Linked DNA regions of Oryctolagus cuniculus. Each later gene encodes a partner of the first gene's protein in a complex. Links are inferred from orthologs where the notes say so. Each region holds a gene or a part of one and is shown on either strand. Other genes may lie near its edges.

Evidence for each region. The genes of interacting proteins can lie anywhere in the genome.
Region 2: TUBG2 (region 1) and NME7 share a complex: the UniProt entries of both Homo sapiens proteins name them as parts of the gamma-tubulin ring complex. The link is inferred for Oryctolagus cuniculus from reciprocal best matches to the Homo sapiens genes TUBG2 and NME7.

The regions. Positions count from the first base shown.
Region 1 is NC_091448.1:20,230,750-20,236,225, reverse strand, and holds the start of TUBG2 (tubulin gamma-2 chain), read left to right. Parts: upstream 1-2,317; 5' UTR 2,318-2,513; coding exon 2,514-2,562; intron 2,563-2,823; coding exon 2,824-2,936; intron 2,937-3,138; coding exon 3,139-3,306; intron 3,307-3,612; coding exon 3,613-3,681; intron 3,682-4,054; coding exon 4,055-4,134; intron 4,135-4,491; coding exon 4,492-4,618; intron 4,619-5,234; coding exon 5,235-5,321; intron 5,322-5,437; coding exon 5,438-5,476. UniProt on the Homo sapiens protein: Tubulin is the major constituent of microtubules, protein filaments consisting of alpha- and beta-tubulin heterodimers. Gamma-tubulin is a key component of the gamma-tubulin ring complex (gTuRC) which mediates microtubule nucleation.
Region 2 is NC_091438.1:29,401,009-29,406,384, forward strand, and holds part of NME7 (nucleoside diphosphate kinase homolog 7), read left to right. Parts: intron 1-2,508; exon of another isoform or gene 2,509-2,531; intron 2,532-2,641; coding exon 2,642-2,749; intron 2,750-4,195; coding exon 4,196-4,362; intron 4,363-5,376. UniProt on the Homo sapiens protein: Possesses an intrinsic kinase activity. Displays 3'-5' exonuclease activity with a preference for single-stranded DNA. Does not seem to have nucleoside diphosphate kinase activity.

The DNA of each region.
Region 1 (5,476 bases):
CGGCCGGACCCGCCCCGGCCCGGCGAGAAGGCCGGGTCCCCGTGCGGACGCCGGAGCCGGACGACGGCTGGGGGGACGGAAACGGCCCGAGGCCGGCGGGGGCGGGCGCGGGGCGAGCTCCAGAGCCTTCCAGAGCCGCCCGGAGCATCTGGGCGGCGGGGCCTGGAAGGCGGCCGAGTTCTCTTTAAAAAAAAAAAAAAAAGAGCGAGAAAAAAAGAAAACAAAAGCCGGAGCCGGCGTCCGAGCGGGAGTCTCGGCGGCGCTCTGGCCTGCTCCTCCCGGGCTCCCAGGGCCGGCCCCCCTCGGAGCGCGGCCTGGAACGTTCCGGGGGGGGGGCGGGCGGCGCTGCGCCGGCTGCTCCGTAATTGTTCCGAGACGGCTCCGAGCATGCATATGGAAGAAATAAAGTAGCTCCCTATCTCAAATAAATTCCAGATGCCCCGGAGACCTACCGGGAACACGCGAAAACTGTTGTGCAAGCAGGGAAGATACTGCGAGTAGGGGCCGGGGTGGGGTGGGGTGGGGGCTTCCTTAAGTTCTCGAAACAAAGGGAAAGTCCGCAGTAAAACTGACAGCGTCCCTGTGGCAAGACACACTTCTCGATGTGAAGACGAGGCCCAGGTGATATCTGCAAGCTGTCCAAGGGTGGATGTGCGGAACTGACTGCAAATGTCTAAGATAAACGGGCAAGGGCTACCCACGGGCAGGTCCCAGAGGAGGCATCCCCAAAAGGAAAGCGAGTGGCCCTCGCCCGGCATCGCGACTGGGCATTCCACCCTCCAGATCCCCTTCAGCCTCTGTGGAACTGACAAAACCAGTACCTGGCAGCCCAAGAGCAGGTGCGCCTGTGGGAAACAACTCGGGCTGGGAAGAGTGCAGCCGGTCAGGAATAAGCCCCAAGCTGTGCAAGCCTCCACAGAGACTTGGCGCTTCCTGTTCGTAGGCAGGCAGCTCCTGTGCCCCTGTGGTGGGGGGTTATTGAGAACAATCTTTAAAAAACATCAAAACTGTGCATTGTATGGAGTACTATGTGACATCTCCAAACGCGTACATGGTGTGATGTTCAAACCACAGAAAACATATCTGTCTCTGCAAACATTTATCAGCTCTTGAGGGTTCTAGCTTTTTAAGAAAGCAAACAATACTTTACTGTCATCCATAGTCACCCCACAGGCCAATTCAACACCAGAATGCCTTTCTCCTGTCTAACTATAACTTAGTATCGGTTAATCACCCTTTCCCATCTGGCCTTCCACTAATTGAGAACAATCTAACCCCACTCGTTTGGAAGTAGAATAAACTGCTTTTGTTTGTCCACTGAAATACAATACAGCAGTTAAAAGGGATGAACTAAATCTACCCATATTAACACGGCTACATCACAAAAAGCCCTAATGTAAGGTGAAAAAAGCAAGCTGCTTTTCTCTGATATTATACTTTGGTATCATTTATATAAATTTCAAAACACAAAAATAGATGGTAAAAATATAAAATTATGTTGTCTATGTCACCTTTCCGGTAATTTAGAGTAAAACAGAGCCTCAGAGATACCACTTCACACCCAGGCTATGATCAAAAGCTAGCGAGGAACAAGTGTTGCTGGAGATAACACTGGAACCCCTCAGCACTGCCAGTGGGAACGTAATCTTGTGCAGCTGCTGTGGAAAAGAGTATGGCGATTCCTCAATTAGACACAGTTATCAGCAATCCTACTTCCGGGTATGCAAGCAAGGAGTTAAATAGATATCTGTACACCCGCGTCCAAAGGGGCACTATTCAAAATGGCCAAAAGGTGGAACAAGTGTCCGCCGAGGTTTGAGTGGATAAACAAATGTGGTGTATCTATGCCACGGAATATTATTCAGCTTTAATAGAGAAAGAATGGTGACTTCCAGGGTCTGCGCCGAAGACGGGAAGTTGCTGTTTAATGGGTAAGGTTTCAGTTTGGGAAAGAGAAAATGCTCTGAAAATGGAGGGTGCTGATGGGTACAGAACAATGCGAGTATACTTAATGTCTGTTAACTGTTGAAATGATGGATTTTATGCTGTGCACGAGTATGTCAAACAATTTTAGAAAAATAGAAATTTAAAGGAAGAAAGTTGCCTTGGATCCAGCCCAGGCCCCAGCGGAGCTGACAGTCCTTAGGGCATCAGGACCTACACCCGGACTACCTAGTGCACCCAGCCGTCCTCTCCCCACCTGCCCGCAGCCTAAGGTCGCGACCCTGCGAGCCCCCGCCAGTCTCAGGGCGCAGGCGCGGAGAGGTGGGCAGGCGGGGGCGTGGCCTCGCTCTGCGCCTGTGCCGAATTCCAGCTGCGCCTGCCATGGGGGAAAATGATGCCCAGGTTGGGCTCCGCGGCCCGCCGGCGGAGCAGACGCCCGCACTGCACACGCGCAGACCGAGCGCTCGCGTCGAGAGGCGAGGGGAGCGCGCGCTGCCCACGTCCTGCGCGCCCGGCTGCCGGGCGTTCGTCTCGGCCGTGACTCCCGCCGGGCCCGTGTCCGCAGAGCGATGCCCCGGGAGATCATCACCCTGCAGCTGGGCCAGTGCGGCAACCAGAGTGAGCAAGCGAGCTCCGGGCCCCGCCACTCTCTCGTTCTGCCCCTTCGGGGTCCACGGGAGTGCTTGGTTCCCACCGGGTCCCCTCTCCCTCTCGTGAACCCCCTGCCCTACTGCGCATGACCACGCAGGCCCTGGGCTGTGACGGCTCCCAGAGCCGGCGTCCTGGGCGCACGCTCCGAGAGTGGCAGCCTCAGAGCCTGACGCTGAGCTGCCCAGGCCTTTCGGCTCTCGCAGACCCGGGCGTCTCCCCTCTCCCCAGTTGGTTTCGAGTTCTGGAAACAGCTGTGCGCCGAGCATGGTATCAGCCCCGAGGGCATCGTGGAGGAGTTCGCCACCGAGGGCACGGACCGCAAGGACGTCTTTTTCTACCAGGTGCCCCCGGCGGCTGGGCCAGGACCCCGGGGGCCTGAAGGGACGGGGCAGGGGCTGGTGCTGGGGAGCCCGCTGGGCACAGGGCCCCGCGGCTGGCTCGGGGAGGGAGGCCCGGCAGGAGCCCGAGTGGGACTGGACTGGGGCCTGGGCCGGCGGTGGCGCCGGCTGACGGGGCCGCCCCTTCCCGGCCTCTCGCTGGCAGGCCGATGATGAGCACTACATCCCGCGGGCCGTGCTGCTGGACCTGGAGCCCCGGGTGATCCACTCCATCCTCAACTCTCCCTACGCCAAGCTCTACAACCCGGAGAACATCTACCTGGCTGAGCACGGAGGAGGAGCTGGCAACAACTGGGCCAGGGGATTCTCCCAGGTGTCCAAGCCGGGGACCCTTGGATAGTCCCACCCTGGGGCAAGGCAGGCTCAGGCAACCTGGGAATTTGACCAGAACAGATTTCTGATACGTAAGAGATAAAGGGATGCTTTGACAAAGGGACAGCCAGGGAGAGCTTTATGCAAATTTTGTACAAGTCACAAAGTATCATTTCTGCGTTGAGGGCAAGAGCTGAAGCTCTGCTTCAGGGGGGTCACAAAGCCCTCCCCCGCCGCCCTCCCTTGTGGAATTCTTGTTGCTGAACAGAGAACCTTGGACCTGACTCTCTGCCATGTCTCTGTCCAGGGTGAGAAGATCCACGAGGACATCTTCGACATCATAGACCGGGAAGCGGACGGAAGCGACAGTCTTGAGGTGAGCTTCTCCCCAGCTCCCGTGGGGTGCAGCGGAGAGGGGCTGCGGCGTGTTGGGGGTCAGGCGGTGGCCCGAGCAGGCCCTGGGATGGTGGCAGTCCAATTCCAGGCCCATTTGTTGAGCATCTGGTTTGGGATCTTGAGGTAGATAAGGTGCAGTCCTTGTTCTCAGGGAAGCCGTAGCCTGGAGGGTGTGAATCCCTCAGCCTGTCCCCAAGCCCTGAGTCTTCCCAAGGAGCCTCGGCCTGGACGGACACAGAGGAAGCCTTGAGGCACGAGTGTGTTGCGAGTGGGTGGGGAATGAGACAAGCTGGCAGCCTCCCCCTCCCCCTGCCCAGGTCCCTGGTCACTGCCTGTCCTTCACTCCCACACAGGGCTTCGTGCTGTGTCACTCCATTGCCGGGGGGACCGGCTCTGGCATGGGCTCCTACCTCCTGGAACGGCTGAATGACAGGTAGGCCGGTGTTTGTTAGGAGGGCATTAGCCCGGGTCCCCTTTTCCTTCTGAGCGGGAAGGCCTGCCCCTACTGCTTTTGAGTCCTAGAGACAGACCCACCCAGGTAACCTTGGCAGCAACCAACACCTGGGGGGGGGGGCACCTGGGGACAGGGGAGATCTAGAGTTTGATGCTTGCAGCTTATCCTGTTCATTCTGAAGACTGAGTCCCGCCCTTACCCTGCTACTGTACAAGAGCTTGGTGGCACACGAAAATCGTGGTGCCCATTGTCCCCACAGAAGACAGAGTGAGCAGTCCGGTAAGTCCTGTTGCTTCTCTGTGCCACCCTCCCCCTTTCCTTCTTCTTCACCCTCAGGTACCCCAAGAAGCTGGTGCAGACCTACTCAGTGTTTCCCAACCAGGACGAGATGAGCGACGTGGTGGTCCAGCCCTACAACTCGCTCCTCACGCTCAAGCGGCTGACTCAGAACGCAGACTGCGTGGTGAGCAAAAGAAGAGGGAGTCGAGGGCTGTGGGACCCCCCTGAGTCACAGCCAGCCTGCCCTGCCCTGCCCAGCACAAAAAGAACCACCAAAGCCAGACCCGTGGTCGGACTGCGAAGTAAGGTCGCAACCTCCAGGGTGCTTATGTGACTTTAGGCAGCCAGTCCCCCAGCACAGGGACTGCCTCCCCCTGCCACCACATAAGCCACTCAGCCCACTCAGTGCCTGCTCACGTTTCAGCTCCAGCTCAGGGGTCACTGTCTTAGTGAAACTTCGCTGCCTACCCAGTCAAGGTCAGCTTCCTTTGTCATATTTCAGGTTAACAGCGTCTTTTTTCTGTTCTGTATTCAATGTCAGCCTCCCTCAACTAGGCTGGAGGCCTGGCGAGGGCAAGACCGTGCCCGTTTTCACTCTGTGGTCACTCCAGACCCAGGCACAAAGTGTGGCACAGAGGACACTCACAGATTTGTTTACTGCCCTGCACTGTCCAGAGGGACTCATAATACCCCCAAAGAATGCTTTCCTTGTAAACTAGCAAAGCTACTGACTGCCTTTACAGCTTAGCAGGTGCTCAGCCAATATTTCATGTCTATGCCACCCTGTCTGTCCCCTCCAGGTGGTGCTGGACAACACAGCCCTGAACCGGATAGCCACGGACCGCCTGCACATCCAGAACCCATCCTTCTCCCAGATCAACCAGCTGGTGAGCCCACCTCTGCACTCCTTCCCACTGGAAGTCCTCCCTGAGGGAGGACTGTCGGGGGAGGGGGGAGGGGTCCTACCCAGGCCAGGCCCATGACACAGCACCCCTGTCCCCAGGTGTCCACCATCATGTCAGCCAGCACCACCACCCTGCGC
Region 2 (5,376 bases), on another chromosome or scaffold:
AATCCCATCAATGAGAGCAGTACCTGCTAATCTAATCACCACTTAAAGGTCCAGCTTCTTAATACTATTATAATGGCAATTAAATTTCAATTTTGGAAGGGATTTTTAAATCATTGCAAAGTATAGCCTCAAATAGGACCTTTTGTGCCACATCCAGATGTATCCCTGTCACATCTCTAGATATATCTCTTGACATTAGGAATAACCCAAATTGCAAAGGTAAATCAGGATGTTAATTTCAAACAAGTGTGAATAGGAATTGTACTTGAAGTAATAAAGCTTTTTACACAGAAGAAGAAGAATTGACTTGGGAGTTCATTTCTTCAAATAACAGAAATTCTGTTATTGGCCTTTTCTTTTTTAAGATTAACTTTATTTACTTGAAAGGCACAGTTACAGAGAGAGGAGAGACAGACATACTGAGAGAGAGAGATCTTCCGTCTGCTGGTTCACTTCCGAAATGGTGGAAGCCAGGAGCCTGGAGCTTCTTCCGGGTCTCCCACAGGGAAATTGAAAAGAAAGGGGGAAATAGTACTTTAGTATGATCAAGGACTAAGCACCAGTGAACAGAAAACTTGTTTCAGACTTTGTAAGGACTGTTTTGCCCCTGCTTCTAGAGTGTAGTTAAGACTCCAGGAGTCACTACATAAAGATAAGGGTATTTACCGGAGGTCTGCACTTTGGTGAGTTTGGATTCTCGTTTCTTTCTCACGCACTCTATGAGACTAGCAGAAGTTCCACTGAAACTTCTAAGACTCCATTCTCTCCGGAATTTTTGCTTCCCAAGTCTTGGATATTTTCAAAGTCTAAACTTGAATTTAAGTTTCCCTACCCCTTGACTTCTCTGTCTCATGGTAGGCTTCCTTTGTGGGCTTCTTAGGCTATTAGAAGTCTCTTGCCCATTTTGACTTGAGATTCAACTCATGTCCTCAGGTTTACAGTAACTCAAAGAATGTTAAGCTCACCTCAGTGAGCTGGTGTGTCATCATTTATTCCATTTTATTTATTTTAGTGAAGGCAATATTGCAGTTATGCATTTGAATGAATATTTTACTGTGGATAGTGAAAAGTTTAATAAGTTACAGATTTTTCATTAAAAGGAAAGTACAATACTAGCATGCACATTGAACCCTAAACTCGAAATACTGGATTTTAAGACTCAAAATGAAAAACTACATGAAGAAAGGCATTTACAAAACTCAATAATGTTTCTCATTTTACATTTATTTTCTCTTGTCTAACAAGCCTTTTCGGATGACTGCAAGTAAAATAAAATAGTGTCTTAAAAGTCATTCACTTATATTTGTTTATGAATATAATCAAAACACAGCTAGATGTGTAATTTCTGCCACTATAGATTATGAATCAGTTACTAACATAGAAGTGAACCCAGCTGCATACTCTAACCAGAGTGTTAGATGGCAAGTCAAGAATTAGCAACAAAATTTCTGGATTCCTTTCTTCCTTATGCCTTCATTTTCTTATTAGAAAGAATTACCTTTGAGGCTGGGATGGAGATATATATATATATATATATATACACATATATATATATATATATCAATGGAAGGTCCTGTGTAATTGTCAAGGAAAAAGGACTAATATTTTGAATTTTTTTATTTATTTGAAAGATAGAAAGAGATAGAGATAATCTTCTATCTGCTGGTTCACTGCCCAAATGCCCACACAGCTGGAACTGGGCCAAGCTGACATCAGGAGCTGGGTGCTCAGTCTGAGTCTCCCACATGGGAGGGACCAAATTACTTAAGTCGTTAACTGCTGTCTACCAGGATGCACAATAGCAGGAAGCTAGAATCTCAAGTGAGCCCAGACACAAACCCATGCACACCAATACTGTGTGCTTTCCAATTGTTGTCTTAACTGCTATGCCAAATGCCCAACCCAAGGGCTAATTTTTGATTTTTCTTTTGTTATTTGGAAACCCTAAGAATTTACTTCTCAAACCTCCAACAACCTGAAACAGGAACCCGGGCCCTAGCTGCTGTGCTCTGAAACCCATTGCTGCTTTTGTGCTTAAGACCTATTTCCCAAGGCTGTTCCTAGCCAGCGACTGAAGCCTACGCACCCTCTCAACCCCTGGAAGTCAAAGCACTCCCTCGTGAACTTGTTGAACCTTCCTTAGACTGTACAGCAATCAGGCATGACTCCACTTAACCTTCCTTGCCTCTGTTCCCCGCTGAGGATTAGAGTTGCACTGTGGTCTGTCAGCTTTCCCAGTTTTCCCTGGCTCTCTCCCCATTTTCTCTTACCAGAATCTCCCTTAATGAAACTGTTGCTTATTTGGCATCTGTTCTCAAATGCTCGAAACTAACATTCTCCTACTTTTTCTACAGCTAGATAGTGTCATACGAAATTTCTAAGGAGAAAAAGATGATTGCTATAACTTTACTGACAATATTCTTGTAGTACTAGATTTTTAAGATTAGGAGAGATAAAACTTCATGAAAATCTGCAGTTTTTCAGAATTTTTTTCTCATATTAGTTTATACTGATATTCTTGCTGTCAGAAGGTAGTAGTAGATCTATTTGTTGCATATATTTTGGTAGACCTTGCTTTCCTTTTACGTGATTTATTCAGGAGTATTTATTAGTGTTAAAATAATACTGTTTTTCTTTACAGAGTTACAGTGAAAGATTCGTTTTCATTGTGGAGTGGTATGATCCAAATGCTTCACTTCTTCGGCGCTATGAGCTTTTGTTTTACCCAGGGGATGGATCTGTTGAAATGGTAAATGCACCTTTTTTTTTTTTTTTTTTTTATGTGAAAGCTAGCAAAGGGGAGGCAGGTGGGATAGAGAAAGTTTTTTTTTTTTTTTATGCAGTTACTTTTTTTAAGATTTATTTATTTATTTGAAAGTCAGAATTAGACAGAGAGAGAAGGAGAGGCAGAGAGAGAGAGGTCTTCGACCATGTACTGGTTTACTCTCAACTGGCCGCAATGGCCATAGATGGGCTGATCTGAAGCCAGGAGCCAGGAGCTTCTTCTGGGTCTCTCACGTGGGTGCAGGGGCTCAAGGACTTGGGCCATCTTCTACTGCTTTCCCAGGCCATAGCAGAGAGCTGGATTGGAAATGGAACAGCCGGGACTCGAACCAGCATCCATATAGGATGCCAGCACTGCAGGCGGCAGTTTTACATGTCACTCCACAGCGCCAGCCCCTGCAGACTATAATATATATATATATGTTTGTGTTTATTTTATTGTTTTTGTATATTCATTATAGTACCATACAGGAATATAACTGTGCCTTTATTTTTAATGTCAAAAATAAGAATTTTTCTTAGAAAACTGAACTGGGATTATTCATGTTTTGGATTAAGCAATAATCAATAAATAGTTTAAAGATTATCATCATCACAATATGTTGCCATCATTGAAATATATTATGTCTACAAAAGTAAAATTTGAAGAGGACTGAGCTAAGAGGGCCCTGTTTATTTATTGTGATCCCTCATTGGAATTGCCTTCAATGAATGGGTATATTTGATGTTGCAATTTTGTGTACTTAAGAAAGCAGCAATTTGGACATGTGGCTATCTTTTTTTTGGGATTTGGTAGGCCCTAAATTACTGAATGATTTGGCTAAAAAAAATTCTTTTTGAAAATATTTAGTTGTAGGGCCAGTGCTGTGGCGCAGTGGGTTAACGCCCTGGCCTGAAGCGCTGGCATCCTATATGGGCGCTTGTTCGAGACCTGGTTGCTCCACTTCCCATCCAGCTCTCTGCTATGGCTTGGGAAAGCAGTGGAAGATGGCCCAAGTCTTTGGGTCCCTGCACCCGCTTGGGAAACCCGGAAGAAGCTCCTGGCTCCTGGCTTTGGATCGGCGCAGCTCCGGCTGTTGCGGCCAATTGGGGAGTGAATCATCGGATGGAAAACCTCTCTTTATCTCTGCCTCTCCTCTCTGTGCAACTCTTTCAAATAAAAATAAATAAATCTTTAAAAAAATTTAGTTGTAATAAGAGGTTTTTAAATTATTACTAGATTAGATCATGGAATCCAAAATTAAAATCAGGGAATTAAAAATTAGAATGTGAAAAAAATGGGATTTGTATTTGCTGCGAAGAAGAAATGGAATGTAACTTGTCTGATGGCAGAAAGGAGAATTTCCATCTTGTAATAAGATTAGCATTCCTATTGATAACTATTTTTTAATTATATTGCTGTTGGTTCTAGCATGATGTGAAGAATCATCGCACCTTTTTGAAGCGGACCAAATATGATGACCTGCGCTTGGAAGATTTATTTATTGGCAACAAAGTGAATGTCTTTTCTCGACAATTGGTGTTAATTGATTATGGAGATCAATATACAGCACGCCAACTGGGCAGTAGGAAAGAAAAGTAAGAAAACAATTTCGTAATTTGTTTTTCACTATTAAAACATTATGTGTAAGCCATGGTACCAATTTCTAATTTCCTGTTGCTGTCTTGTGTTTTCACAGTACAGAGATTTTTTTCAGTAATCTACTTCAATGTTGATGACATTTTTAGAAATTTTATTAAGTAAATTCTGTGATTTGTTCATCAGTGAGAATAACAAAGTGATATCCTCAGTCTTAGGCAGTGACTATTTCCTGGGGAGAAAAGTACAAAATTCTCATATGTTCCATCATTCATTCTTAGTAAAATAAATGTCATTTGGGAACTAAGAATATCTGAATATAAAAAAATCTTGGTGCTTAAGGTAAACTTGACTTATGGGGAAAAAAGTAGTGAGTATCAAAAGCTCAATAGAAACTCAAAAGAAATAAAAGATACTTCTTATGCAAAGCTTTGTGGAAGGTTTGACCTGCATCATAAAAAATGGATTGAATTGGCCGGCACCGCGGCTCAATAGGCTAATCCTCCACCTGCGGCACCGGCACACCAGGTTCTAGTCCCATTCGGGGCGCCGGATTCTATCCCGGTTGCTCTTCTTCCAGTCCAGCTCTCTGCTGTGGCCCAGGAATGCAATGGAGGATGGCCCAAGTGCTTGGGCCCTGCACCCGCATGGGAGACCAGGAGAAGCACCTGGCTCCTGCCTTCGGATCAGCGCAGTGTGCTGGCTGCAGCGCGCCGGCCGCAGTGGCCATTGAGGGGTGAACCAACAGAAAAAGGAAGACCTTTCTCTCTGTCTCTCTCTCTCACTGTCCACTCTGCCTATCAATCAATCAATCAATAAATAAATAAAACCTTTAAAAAAATGGATTGAATTTTTACCCAGTTAGATGAAGTAAGGTCAGAGGAATGAGTATAACCAATGGTACAGAAGCGAGAAATTCTATGTCTTATACTAGGCAGAACCTAATTATTCTGCTTGAATAACTCAGTGATTAAAAATATTTTTGGGGAGCTGGTGCTGTGGGATGATAGGTT